Linked DNA regions of Oryzias latipes. The protein of the gene in region 1 interacts with the protein of each later gene in a pairwise test. Links are inferred from orthologs where the notes say so. Each region holds a gene or a part of one and is shown in the gene's direction. Other genes may lie near its edges.

Evidence for each region.
Region 2: the proteins of git1 (region 1) and pfdn1 interact in binary tests that used the Homo sapiens proteins (3 or more experiments, as listed by UniProt). The link is inferred for Oryzias latipes from reciprocal best matches to the Homo sapiens genes GIT1 and PFDN1.
Region 3: the proteins of git1 (region 1) and lamtor5 interact in a two-hybrid assay, tested with the Homo sapiens proteins (2 studies listed by BioGRID and IntAct). The link is inferred for Oryzias latipes from reciprocal best matches to the Homo sapiens genes GIT1 and LAMTOR5.

Annotation. Positions count from the first base shown.
Region 1 is NC_019871.2:27,390,690-27,394,394, reverse strand, and holds part of git1 (ARF GTPase-activating protein GIT1), read left to right. Parts: intron 1-341; coding exon 342-689; intron 690-1,646; coding exon 1,647-1,727; intron 1,728-3,572; coding exon 3,573-3,649; intron 3,650-3,705. UniProt on the Homo sapiens protein: GTPase-activating protein for ADP ribosylation factor family members, including ARF1.
Region 2 is NC_019872.2:23,089,757-23,094,209, forward strand, and holds pfdn1 (prefoldin subunit 1), read left to right. Parts: upstream 1-1,595; 5' UTR 1,596-1,661; coding exon 1,662-1,760; intron 1,761-2,465; coding exon 2,466-2,632; intron 2,633-4,059; coding exon 4,060-4,144; intron 4,145-4,226; coding exon 4,227-4,310; 3' UTR 4,311-4,363; downstream 4,364-4,453. UniProt on the Homo sapiens protein: Binds specifically to cytosolic chaperonin (c-CPN) and transfers target proteins to it. Binds to nascent polypeptide chain and promotes folding in an environment in which there are many competing pathways for nonnative proteins.
Region 3 is NC_019865.2:10,897,324-10,901,680, reverse strand, and holds the start of lamtor5 (ragulator complex protein LAMTOR5), read left to right. Parts: upstream 1-1,490; 5' UTR 1,491-1,629; coding exon 1,630-1,664; intron 1,665-1,753; coding exon 1,754-1,815; intron 1,816-3,608; coding exon 3,609-3,726; intron 3,727-4,357. UniProt on the Homo sapiens protein: As part of the Ragulator complex it is involved in amino acid sensing and activation of mTORC1, a signaling complex promoting cell growth in response to growth factors, energy levels, and amino acids.

The DNA of each region.
Region 1 (3,705 bases):
ACGCGCCTCATTCGTCTGTCATCTTTTATTTGGACTTTTCACTGAGTGTTGAGAACAAAAGCTCAGAAGCAAACATTCAACTATCAGACCATCCAGCAGCAGCGCTCTGCAAACGAGCCGTTCCTTCATCAGGCTCAGGCAGGTCCCCAATACAAATGAGAGAAATATACTGTAGAACTGATGTTACTGTGTGAAACCCCCTGTTTTTTAATGATTGTGAGCTTTTTCCAGCATGTTTTTCACCATTCAGTTTATGCCCCCCCCTTCCATTCCTACACCCTCCCCATGTTCCTCCCTCCATCCTGTCATCCCCCCCTTGCTCCCTTCCTTGCCTCTTATAGATTACCCGGATGCAGACAGAGAACAGCGTGCTGCGGGGGTGCCAGCAGGCTGGGGGGGCAGCTGGCCATGGGTTAGGAGGGCCTGGTGGAGGAGGAGGAGGAGGAGGAGGAGGAGGACACTGGCCAGGGGGAGGAAATCAAGTAGACGGAGGAGGCTCAGCTGGACCAGGAATGGTCTCCCCATCGCTCTTTGTGCCCTCCTCAACCGCCTCTCACTCCCACCCCCACTGGAGGGAGCGCCAGGCTTTTTCAATGTACGTGCCCGGAGCCGTTCCTGGCCCCATAGCCCATGGCCCCCCAGCCCTGGACTCCCTGGCAGCTCGCCTGCAGCCCCTCAACACACCTAGCGTAAGTTAGAACCCCGCCCCCTCCGGAACTTTTTCCACTTCCCGGTTTTCTTCCCGATCGACCGCCGTCGGCCGAGGCGATGTGGGAAAATCCTTCCCCCCCCCCCCCCCCCGTTCCTCCTGCTCTGTCACTCCGTTACCGCTGCTTCCATTGAAAGGTCATGATGTGCACATCACCCAGTCTACTCTAGAAAAGGGATCCGGGCTTTTTAGCTGCATAAAGGGTGAAGTGCACAAACATGAGCAGAGATGGGGGGGGGCAGGGGGGGGGGGGGGACTGGACTTTTCTCTGCTCTCTTCCCTGCACCTTTTCCAGCCCTTTCATAACCTCTGACATGGCTCCCTGACTGCTGCTTCACCTGAACGTCTCCCACTCATCTAAGGAGCATGTCCTCATCTCTACTTCACTATTGAATCTCTAGCAAAAAGTCTGAAAATGATGGTTTTTGGTTAGGTTTCTGATCAGTATTTGGGTAGAGAAGCGACTCACTGGAGGCCACTGTGTTGCTAATCCAGTTTTCTACTGACCGTCTTCTGACACTTTCTTTCTGTCTTTGGTTTTGTCTGTTTTGGCCCGTCTCTCCTTTGCTCACTGCGGTGCGACCGTGCATCCTCTGGATGGAAGCATTCTGTCTGCCACTGCTTTGTTCACCACTTCATCTAAGGAGGTTGAGTTCATCTGCTCATCTCAGAGCTTGAAATCAACTCAAGTGATCTGGTTTTGTAGATGTTTGTAGTGAAATAATGGCCAGTATAGTTAGAGCTGGTTTGTTAGACGATCAGTGCCGCTCATGATGAGGTGATGTCAGAGCTGCTCTTATGATCCGGTGCTTCCTCATCCTGTTTCTTGCCGTCTTTGGTCCTTTCCTTAGTCCCAATTAGAATTCTGGCTTGTTAGTCACGTCTGTTCTATGTCAACATGTCAACTCTTCATGCGTGTGTTCCTTCATCTTCCCAGGTGAGAAAAGGTGGCACGGGGGGTGCAGTGACCTACGGAGGCCAGCCTCTGTCCGGCTCCACAGAGGTGGGCAGATACATGGTGAGTCTATAGCTGCGTTTATCTGTTGGAGCCATAGACCGTCTACTAGAACTGGATAGAAACAGGAAATAGTTTAGTCTCCATGTTTTGTGTGAAATGGAAGCTGCCATGTTGGGGCCACATTTTTGTTTTTAACCCCAAATATAATGTCACCAATTTTGCCGAAGTAAAAGCCAAATTTCATGAACACTTTACACAGACTAATCCACAAATCCACCATTTTTTGTTGATGAGAACTTGGATCATTTATTTTGTAGGCTGCACAATAAATCTCAAATTGATCGTTCTGGTGATGTCAAGCTGTGCTAAACGCATACCGCAAAAGTCGGAGAAAACTGCAATAAATGGTTACTTAAATGTGCCAAAACAATCTTATGGCAGCTTGAAGTATTTAATCCATTTATGCGTTTGACCAATGGGATGTTGTTGACCAATCACAGCTTTGATGTCAGACTGGGTAAATTGGAGTCTGATTTAAGTTATTTGGACTCGTATTTAAATTAAACTGTCGCAGTGAAATGGAAATGATGACTTTGGTTGTTTTAATATTTATTCATGTATCGCAAGTTAAATGGTCATCGCAATATTGATCACTAAAATGGCAAGTTTTTCTCATTTCGTGCAGCCCTAATCAATAACAAATGAATTGGAATACTTTTTTCAGATAAAAAATATTAAAATGCAATGCATTGTGGTCTATATTTACCAGTCTATCGAGCCTTGATGCACACTAGCTTCTCTGCAGAGACGTGGGAATTTTTTTAGGGGACTGGATTTTGGAATCGTAGATTGGGACAGTTACAAAATGACTGACGAGTGCACTATGCAGTGAGTAGTGAAGGAATGTGGGCACAACCATTGTGATTGGTCTGAGTCATCATTTCTACGGCAACCAGAAGTAAGCTTGTTGGAAGTCCACACCCCTTCCACTGAACGTGGGCTTAAGTGAACCAGAAACATAGAATCAGCGGGAATATGGAAAAAAAAGAAGGTATCAGATCAAGAAGGGTTATTCTGACTAATAGAATGACTGAGTAGCAGCTGTTTATTTCTCTATAGACGTTTTTAAGATCTTGTATTCTTGGAGACAGCAGGTACTTCCTGTTTAGAATGTGACGGGGGAGGGGTCACTGTTCTGAAGTCATCTCTTCTTGTTTATTGATGGCCGCCGGGCTTTTATTTTGTAAAACCGTCTGAAGCACAGCTGTTATACAACAAACCTGGCCAATAGGCAGCTTCCTGTTGGCAAAACACACCTGATGCAGGTAATCAGTAGGAGGATGCTGGAGTTCAACAACCCGCCCCAAAAAATAAGATAACACTATCAAGTTTCAGCTCAGCAATGAAGAAAATGGGGGCGGCTGTGGTGCAGTGGTAGGGCGGTCGAGACATGAGCGTAAGATTGTAGGTTCGATTCCCGCCTTGCACACCCATGCCTCGATGTGTCCTTGGGCAAGACACTGAACCCCACCTTGCCTCTGGTGGAAGGTTGGTGCCCAGTGTTCGGCAGCGGAGCCGCCACCAGTGTGTGAATGTGTGAGTGACTGTAAAGCGCTTTGGGCCTTGTAGGTAGAAAAGCTCTATACAAGTACACGCCATTTACCAAAATCTTCTTGGAAACCCATAGAAGTGGTGGGCGGATAAGCATGACTGTGCAGTTTCTTGTCCTGTAAAAGGATGAGTGAGAGGCACTAAAGGTCAGGTGTACGGCTCTTCCTGTGGATGATCTTCAGCCTCTGAGCTTCTCTGGATACTTGGGTTTGAACTGAAGGAAAACCCTGTTTCTGCTGGGATTGTGCATTAGGCTGGATGGCCTCTGATCTCTTCTAATGATTCTATTTGCAGGTGCCTAAACCAGAGAAGCACGGCAGTGGCACAGACAGCGACTATGACAACACGCACATGTATGACCCTTCACTGAGGTCAGTTTTTGAAGCCACTTTCCCACCGAACGCGATTGGCGCGGCGTTCCATTTCA
Region 2 (4,453 bases), on another chromosome or scaffold:
TTCTATTTTATTCCTGTTAAATAAAAAAACTTCAAGACGCATGCGCAAATTTGAACAATCTGTGTTTTGGAACTCCATGTATATGATTGTGAGCTCTTGATGTGTTTTTACAGTTTGCCATCAGAGTAAAAAGCCCATTGCTAAAAAATAAAATTGGCACATTGCTACTGCCAGACCTTTGCGCTCAAATCGCGCCGCAGGACCCCAGATCGTGTCTCTGCCATTGACTCAACCATTGCCATTGTAAAGGCCCGTACACACCGGGACGAATATTCACCAGGCATTATTCGCCAGCGTTTTTCGCCACGTTTTTTTTGTTCACACCCAGGCGATTTTCGCTGACGATGAGCCAAGCGAACATGCAATTTCATTCCCTGACTTTAGATGGCGCTTAATGTAAAACAGAAATACCCCTGTACACAAGGTGGCGCTGCGCAACTTTACGCTTCTTAAAGTCGCTTTTCACTCAGAAGAAGAGAGCAAGTATTTACGCGCTTGTCAGAATCAAACAAAGAAAACATGAATATTTCCAGCACCAGTAGCTCCAGTTCCAGCAATGAAGAAATTATTGTTCTGTTGAATGATGTGTTGCACCGAGTAAAGACTGATAACTGCCGTAAAGCAAGTCAAAGTTTTATTAACACAGGATCATTATTTGCAGTACAATACCTTTATACCGATGACACCACAGCAAACGATGAAAGACGCTGGAAAAGACGCAGATTTTGGGTACATCCCATAGTTACGAGAAGAGAAGAACATGGGGAGTTTTATCGACTGGTACGAGAGCTAAAAATGTATCATGAGCGTTTTCGGGGATATTTTAGAATGTCCGTCATTATTTCTTTGCGGCAGTGTAGATTCCACTTGGCGTCTTATCTTCTTCGCTGGTATGTGTGCTCAGAAAGGCAGTTTTGTGTTTGAGCGCCCCCAAGTTGTGTTTTACTGTAACTTCAGAAGCTCCAGACACGTGTCCAAAAGCCCCATTCTCATTAGTCGTATAGTTTTTGCCGCGTGGCGCCAAACCAAAAAAACGAACCCGAGGCATTTTTTATAAAGTGACGCTTTGAAGCGTGGCGTTTTTTCACGTCGGTGTGCACACTCACATTGGTGCCCTTTGTTTAGTCATGAGGCGTTAAACATCGGCGAATATCGCGCGCGAAATTCGTCCCGGTGTGTACGGGCCTTAACTGGCCACCTCTGCCACGAATCTCGTTCAGTGTGAACGCACCTTAAATGTAACCATAACACTAAACTTAACCTTTCCTCTGGGTCCGGGTGTTCAAGAATTAAGTTTTGCACTGGCCACAAGTATTTGGAAAATGACGTGTGAATAGTGCTATGCAAGTGTATTCAACAATTTTTACAATTTCTGGGACTGTCTATCGGTCTTCACTCAGGCAAGACGCAGCTTGCAGATAGGGGGAATCGAGGGCGGAGCTAATCAGCACCAATAGCCACGCCCATGTAGAGGAGTTCTTGGAAACACGCTTCAGATAAACATGACATTTTAAAGACATTTGGCTTGTGGAATTTTAGTTAAAAAAAACGTCGTAATTGTAACTAAAACACCACTGGGAACGTTTTTATTTTTTTTAAAAAAAAGGTCACGGGGAGTTTAAATAGATCATCGTTACTGGGAGGGGCTGTGGGCAAACTTGATGCTGCCACAAAATAAGCCCGAAGAAGACAATCTTGCGCATGCGCACTCGAAATCTACTCTAAAGATGGCGGCGCCCGTGGACCTGGAACTAAAAAAGGTGTGTAGTTTACAGGACGCCGAACACATCATATGTCTGACGCACGTGGTTGCGCATACTCTCCGATATTGGGTTACAGGCAGCTACCGCTGGTAGTTATTAGTGTGACCCATACCGCATTCAGTGGTGCACGCGGAAGGTTCACGAAATTCGGCTGACCGGTCACTTCACTAGTAACAAACATGTGAACCGGACCATTGTGTACCTGCACCGAATCTTTGAACCCCTTAGAGCAAAATGAGTTTTGAGGTTGCCCCCCCCCCCCCATCTCTTTGAAACGGCCGAGCATCCTTTCTGATCGGGTGGACCATATTCCAATCCCACAATCCTTTGCGGTATTAACACTGAGACAAAAGATGATGGGGTTTGAGGAAACCAGATTATGACAAACATGCTTGTAAATGTTAAAGTCCAGTTTTCCATCTTTCAGTGTCGTGGATTATTTTAGGTCAGATGTCGTTTTTTTTTTTTACCTCCTTTATGCAAACATTTAAATGGTCCAGGTTTATATCTTCATAGACTACCTTCATGTAGCAGATCGCTTTGCTTGTTAACTGATTTACAGGAGAGGCAGTGTTTCATTTTTCTGTTTGACTTCCTGAATCAAGCCAGAGAAAAGGAAGAGATGGGAGAAATAGTGAAACTCTGATTCTCTCCTGGTTTCCTTTTCGACTTTGAACAGAGCGATACTTCCTGTCTCTGCAGGCATTCGCCGAGCTACAGCTGAAGATGATTGACACACAGCAGAAGGTGAAGCTGGCCGACCTCCAGATTGATCAGCTGACTCGAGTTCAGAAACATGCCAAGCTCACAAGCACAGAGATCTCCTCGCTGCCGGAAAACACGCGCCTGTACGAGGGCGTCGGCCGAATGTAAGTGTGCTCTCCTGTAATCAATGCCAACTCACCAAAGAACACAGATGAGTTAGACACATCTGAAAAACATGAAACCAGTCTGGTTTTTCCATCAAATGTCTGGTTCTGCTTTGGAAATCTCAGTGTCACACGGTTCTACTGCAGTTGTGAAACCATGTGCCTCTTATTTTGAAAACTTTACATTTATTTTAAGGAGATCTCCACCAGATTCACATAAATTTCTTTTTGGAGAGGTTTTGATTGGCCTCATTGATGCTACTGAGGCTCCATGAGAGTTCCAGACAGAGGAATTCTGTCTGACCTGATTGACTTTATGAACTTCACATCCAGTCAACACTTTTATACACAAGTTTGAAGAGGATGTGCGTTTAGCAACTGATCTGCACAAACACTGAGCTACATAAGGGTTAATGGCCAACAAAGTGTGCTTTATCAGCATTAATGCACTTTATGCGTTAATGCTGATAGCACTCTTGCCTCGGAGCAAGAAGGCCACTGGTTCAAGTCCCGGCTGGGGGACCTGAAACAGAACATCAATGGGGGACCTTTCTGCATTGAGTTTGCATGTTCTCCTCGTGCATGCATGGGTTTTCTCCGGGGTCTCCAGCTTCCTCCCACCGTCCAAAAAGATGCTCCATAGGTTAATTGGCAACTCTAAATTGTCCATAGGTGTGAATGTGAGTGTGAATGGGTGTGTGACTGTGACCCTGCGGCAGACTGGCGACCTGTCCAGGGTGTCCTCTGCCTTCACCCATAAGTGGCCGGGATAGGCTCCGGCAGCCCCGTGACTCCGAAAGGGAACAAACGGAAGAAAATGAATGAATGAATGCACTTTGTGGAAGCAACCGTCCTCCGCAGTTGCTTCCATAAAGTGCATTAATTTCTGATTGTGCCCACTTTGACAGCCGTTAATCCGCTGCTACCATGATTACTTACAAAAGAAATAAATATATAACCAGTTTTTAGGCCTTTCATTCTAACATTTTTATGGTTCCAATCTCTTTTTTTTCTCTTCACAAAAAGTCGACTATTTGTTACGTGTCACGGTAACATAACGCGCTGCTTAGCCCCACTGACCTCGACTGCTGCGGCAAAGGAAAGCAATATATATGCTGATCGTCACCACGGGTTAAATAAAGCATCAGTTCAGAGAGAAAGTTTACCTCTTTTAGTCCAGATGATGAGGCTGAAGTTTGTTTTAAAGAAGCCAGTGCAGTGATACAGAACAGTTAAGCTATGTGCCCGGAACTTCTTTTTTAGGCGTACATTATCACCGTGGATTATCACTTTAATGCACACCCAGCAGCCAATCAGAATCGAGTATTCACCCGGACCATGGTATAAAGAAACGTTAATGTCTGAATGCTGCCTTTAGGTTCATCTGCCCTGCCGATCCTATAGATGACAGAAAACTGTTGTTTCAGGTTCATTCTTCAGTCCAGGGAGAAGATCAACAACCTGCTGACAGACAAACAGAAAACCGTGGACGAGAAGATCAAGGAGCTTGAGGTGCGAGTGCCTGCTCCATCACAGCTCGCAGTGCATGTTTGCGGGTTTCTGACTGTTGCTGCCCGTTTGTGGTCTCTTGCAGCAGAAGAAGGTGTACTTGGAGCGCAGCGTGAAGGAGGCTGAAGACAACATCAGAGAGATGCTGCTGTCCAGAAGAGCTCCGTAATCCGTTTTTTTTCTGTGCCACGTGATCCCAATAAAGCCCCTCCCACCCCTCTGTGTTGGTGTGAAGTGTCTCCTAAAGGTCTGTGAGGACCATGTAGGTTTGAAGGAGAGATGAGGGTCAACCAAACTGCAGTGGGGGTCAGT
Region 3 (4,357 bases), on another chromosome or scaffold:
CAACAGCAGAAATCCTCCAAAAAAACTCAATCCTAAAAAAATGGTCTGATCTAATCCCCCCTCCCCCTCCCCTTCCCTCTGACACACGCGGCTCCGTCTCCATGACGACAGCGCGCAGCTGCGGCTCAGAGTTGATTGTCAGATAGAAAAAGACCCCCAATCACCTGTTAGTGTGATTCAGCCAGCCACCGGCGAGCTGCGCTCCCCTCTCGAGTTTTTTGACTTATGTTCCAAAGACTACAAAGAGGTGTGGCCGCAATCGTCTTGCAGCAGAGGGCGGTGGTCACGTGCGCATCGGGTCTGCTGTGTCGGAGCAAAGAATTGTGGGAAATAATCTCCATTGCCTGCTTTTTTCGAAATTGGGTTGAGCACGGATGTTTGTTCTGCCTAATTCATTTTCATGTGCCGGTTTTACGTTGTTTCACTCTGAGGTATTCTTTTTTTTTTTTTTTTTTTTTTTTTTTTTGCACCATAAGTGTGAAGAGCAAATAGGAGGAAGACATTCTTTAGAGTCTGATGTGTCTAAATAAAAGCATTAAGTGTCGGCTGCTCAAGCAATTTCAAATTAAAAGCTCCAAGCTTCCTCTTTGAATTTAGTATGTAGCATATTATGTGTAACGCCTCAGGAACGGCAAATGCCGCCCCCTATGAAGTGCCGCCCTGGGCGACCGCCCACATCGACCATATCAAAAACCGCCACTGCACTGCAGTAAGATAAACAGTTTAAGTCCCACTCCAATAATCATTCGATCTATTTTCAGTGTTTCCAGTACCGGTAGTCTTTTAATTATAACTATGCCGCTTTTAGGCTAAATCAAAAAACCTTTGTCGTTTTCAGGGACATACATAGTTTCTGCAGCGTGGCAGTAGTTCATTAGAAATTCATCTCTGAGTTGTGGGCGGGACTGTTGGCGAGGACTAAGCCAATCCCTGCTTCCTATCATCAGTTTACAGCCCCTCACAGCCCCCAACCTAAAATTATGCAACAAAAATGGCTAGCAATATTGGAGCTATGCAGCCATACCGTTTTGATCCAGATGTCAGCTCTGGCAAAGAAAACAAAGATGTACAAGGATCTAGTCATCTACAAGCCAATCCATCATAATGGAAAATGCTGCTGGTTGTAGTAGCTTGTAGTAGCTTCTACGTCAGATCTGCAGGATATTTCAAATGGCATTTTTGCACATGCTACTGATTCACAACGATTTGAATAAAGAAATACTCAGAAATGCAATTTTAATCTTATTTTTTTTATGTGTCCTGCATCATCAGAAAAATGTCACAAGAATTAAAAAATACACCAAAAATCATTTATTTGAATTAAGCCGTCAATTCTATTCTATTCTATTCTATTCTATTCTATTCTATTCTATTCTACTGAAAACCAATTATTTTTAATTTGTACTAAAAGATACAGTTATCAGTCTGTCTTTAGTTGGTTGTTTTGTAGTTTTGAGTTGGCTCAGCCGTTCGCGCTTCGTCTTGTTTGACCCTGGCGATGTCTCTTACTGTACGTCACAGTCACATGATTGTCAGGAGGAATTTAAGGAAACAAACGTCAACAACAAAAAATACAATTTTTGGGCCATAGAACTTTACATTTTCTGATTTTTTTACGGTTTTCTAAAGATGGAGTCAACCCTCGAACAACACCTTGACGATACGTGAGTTCTAATCTATGCTAACTAGCTTGTTTCTTTACATTTCGTACATTCGTTTGGCTAATTCTCTTGATTTCGTGTTTTTTCTGCAGCATGAAAAATCCAGCTGTTGTTGGGGTTCTATGCACGGACCAACAAGGACACAACTTGGGCTGTAAGACTCTTCAGAGTTAACAGGAAGTCACATCACATGTATTTATTCACGAAGTACCCCGTAGTCGATATTCTCTAGTTCGTCAGTTTCGCTAATAAATAAATTCCCGCAACAGTTTAGTTTCCCCAAAAACACAAGTTTCCACCGCCAGCTGTTTATGAGAGATCATGTTGTTATTTCTGATGTTTTAGTCTTTAATCTCATTAGAGAAATGTTGCCAGTGAGTGAGAGAGGCAAAGATGTAACTCAGAAAGAAGACCCATAGTGTTTAGGTCAGTGCAGATCATGTGTAGACATCTGTCTCCTAAAGACATCCTTTGCTTACATAACGGGATGTGTTACTTTTTCCAAAGAGGCCCATATTTGCAGTGAATCTTAGAACTATTTGAAACACATTAAATTAAATATACTGCAATGGGATACTTTTCATGACATTTCATGATTACATGACAGTCTTCACATAGAAAACAGACATCTAACTACGTTTTTACCAAAATTACTGTCACATTTGTATATTTTTTGCACAGTTCATTCACAGTTAGCTTGTCGTATTAGCATGTCTTATCTGGTAGTTTCTCTTGATATTGAACTCCATGAAAACAGCCACAGTCTTCTGGCCCATTAGGCAGACACAGTTGTTTTATATTTCACTGAAAAAATGTTCAAATTTTCCATTTGTCCTTTAAGAGGTTGACCCTTAAAGAGCTAGAGAGTGTCACAAAAGGGTCGCACAACAGTGTTTCCACAGGTTTATAAAGTCTGATTTAGCCAACCACACAGCTTTTAGATATTGTTGCAGGACGCGTTCTGTTGATTTTATGTAGGAGCCTACGGGCCGGTGAAAATTTGAAAGGGGGCCGGATTTGGCCCACAAGCCGGACTTTGGACATGCCTGGCTCTCATGACTGATCGACTGTTTTCCGTGTTGAAGACCTGAGTCGGAATAATTTAAAAATGGGTCTTCAACTGAATAAGTAACAATTTCCTCTTGAGGCAAACTGATTTGATCTATTATATGATAGTAACAGTTCAGACCAGCAAACATAGCAAAGAATTCTGGCTCACTGTGGTGGTCTGATCTGCTGCTGGTTATTACACCTTTGCTGCCAGATGTTAAAGCTACATGTTAAATTATCACACTGTTGGTGCTCTGACATTGTAAAAACGTGAAATCAGATTTACTTTAAGAAAAAAGTTAAATTCTAAATAAAGACTGCAGTCCAAATGAACTGATCTGATGAGCAGAAGGATGCATCTAAAGCAGGTCATCATTTAAAGTCCCACTCTGATCATCTTTTGATCTATTTCAAAAGCATTCCTAGTCTTTTATTTATGATGAAGCTGTTTTTGACCCAAAAAAAATAGTCATTTTCCAGAACAAAGTTTCTGCAGAGCAGCACTAGTTTTTTTAAAAATTCACCTCTTGAGTTGTGAGCAGGACTGTCGGCGTGAAGTAAGCCCACTTGTCGTCACTCATCTGTTTACTGTTTACATGCTCTCCTGCTAGCTTTCAGCCCTTCAGACCCCAAGCCTAACATTAGCGGTACATCAAAAATAGCGAGCAGTATCAGAGCTATACAGTCCTAGAGTTTTTAACCCGATAACTGCTCGGATGAGAAAAACAAAGACGTCCATGGATCTAGTCTGGATTCTGCTGATTCACAACGATTTGAATAAACAAATCCTGAAAAATGCATTTTTGAATATGTTCTCCATCATCAGAAAAATGCCAAAAGAACATGTTTAAAACACAATTTTCATCAGAGCGGGTCTTTGACATATTTTTTTTTTAGGTCGTGGATCTCTGTCAGATGAACATGGAGGTGTGGTGTCTGTTCTGGCTAAACAAGCAGCTGCTCTCACCAGAGACCTGACGGACACACCGACTGTGTGCCTAGAGTCCGAGTCAGGGTGAGCCATGGACTGTGCCTTTGCACAACTTCTTCTATTTCTTAGTTTTAGTGCATTTAAGGTGTGCCTTTGTAGTTTTAAATGTGGAAGTGTACAAATAAGAGTTCCAAGACGCTGTGCAATCAGCTTCAACTTCTGTGCCACAGAGGTGCAGCAGAGATGAGCATCCTCTATACCTGCTGGTCACGTGGGAGACCATGCCTAATTATTTTTCTGAGTATTGGCTCCTCTATACTATTCATGACTTTTGGAACTTCCGGATGTTGGAATATAATAATTTCCCCACCTCCTCAATACTGTACATTTAAGTCATTTAATGGATGATTTAATTCAAAGTGGCTTAACAGTGAGATACAAAACAAACCATATTATCCAGGATTAAGTGGTTGTGAGGGTTAGACTCATGGATAATCATATAGGCAGACCTGGATTTGAGTATTTATTTTTTTGGACTATGCTGCCACCTTCTGGACTCTTTTAAACTATTGAATGTAGTGGAATTCCCACCTCTGAAATGGACTTTGTCATTTGGAATTAGAAATTTACCAAAAACACAAGTAAATAGAATTCAATCCTGTTGTCTAAGTAGCACAACACCAAAAAAAAAAAACTTCTAATGAAGCTGAACAAC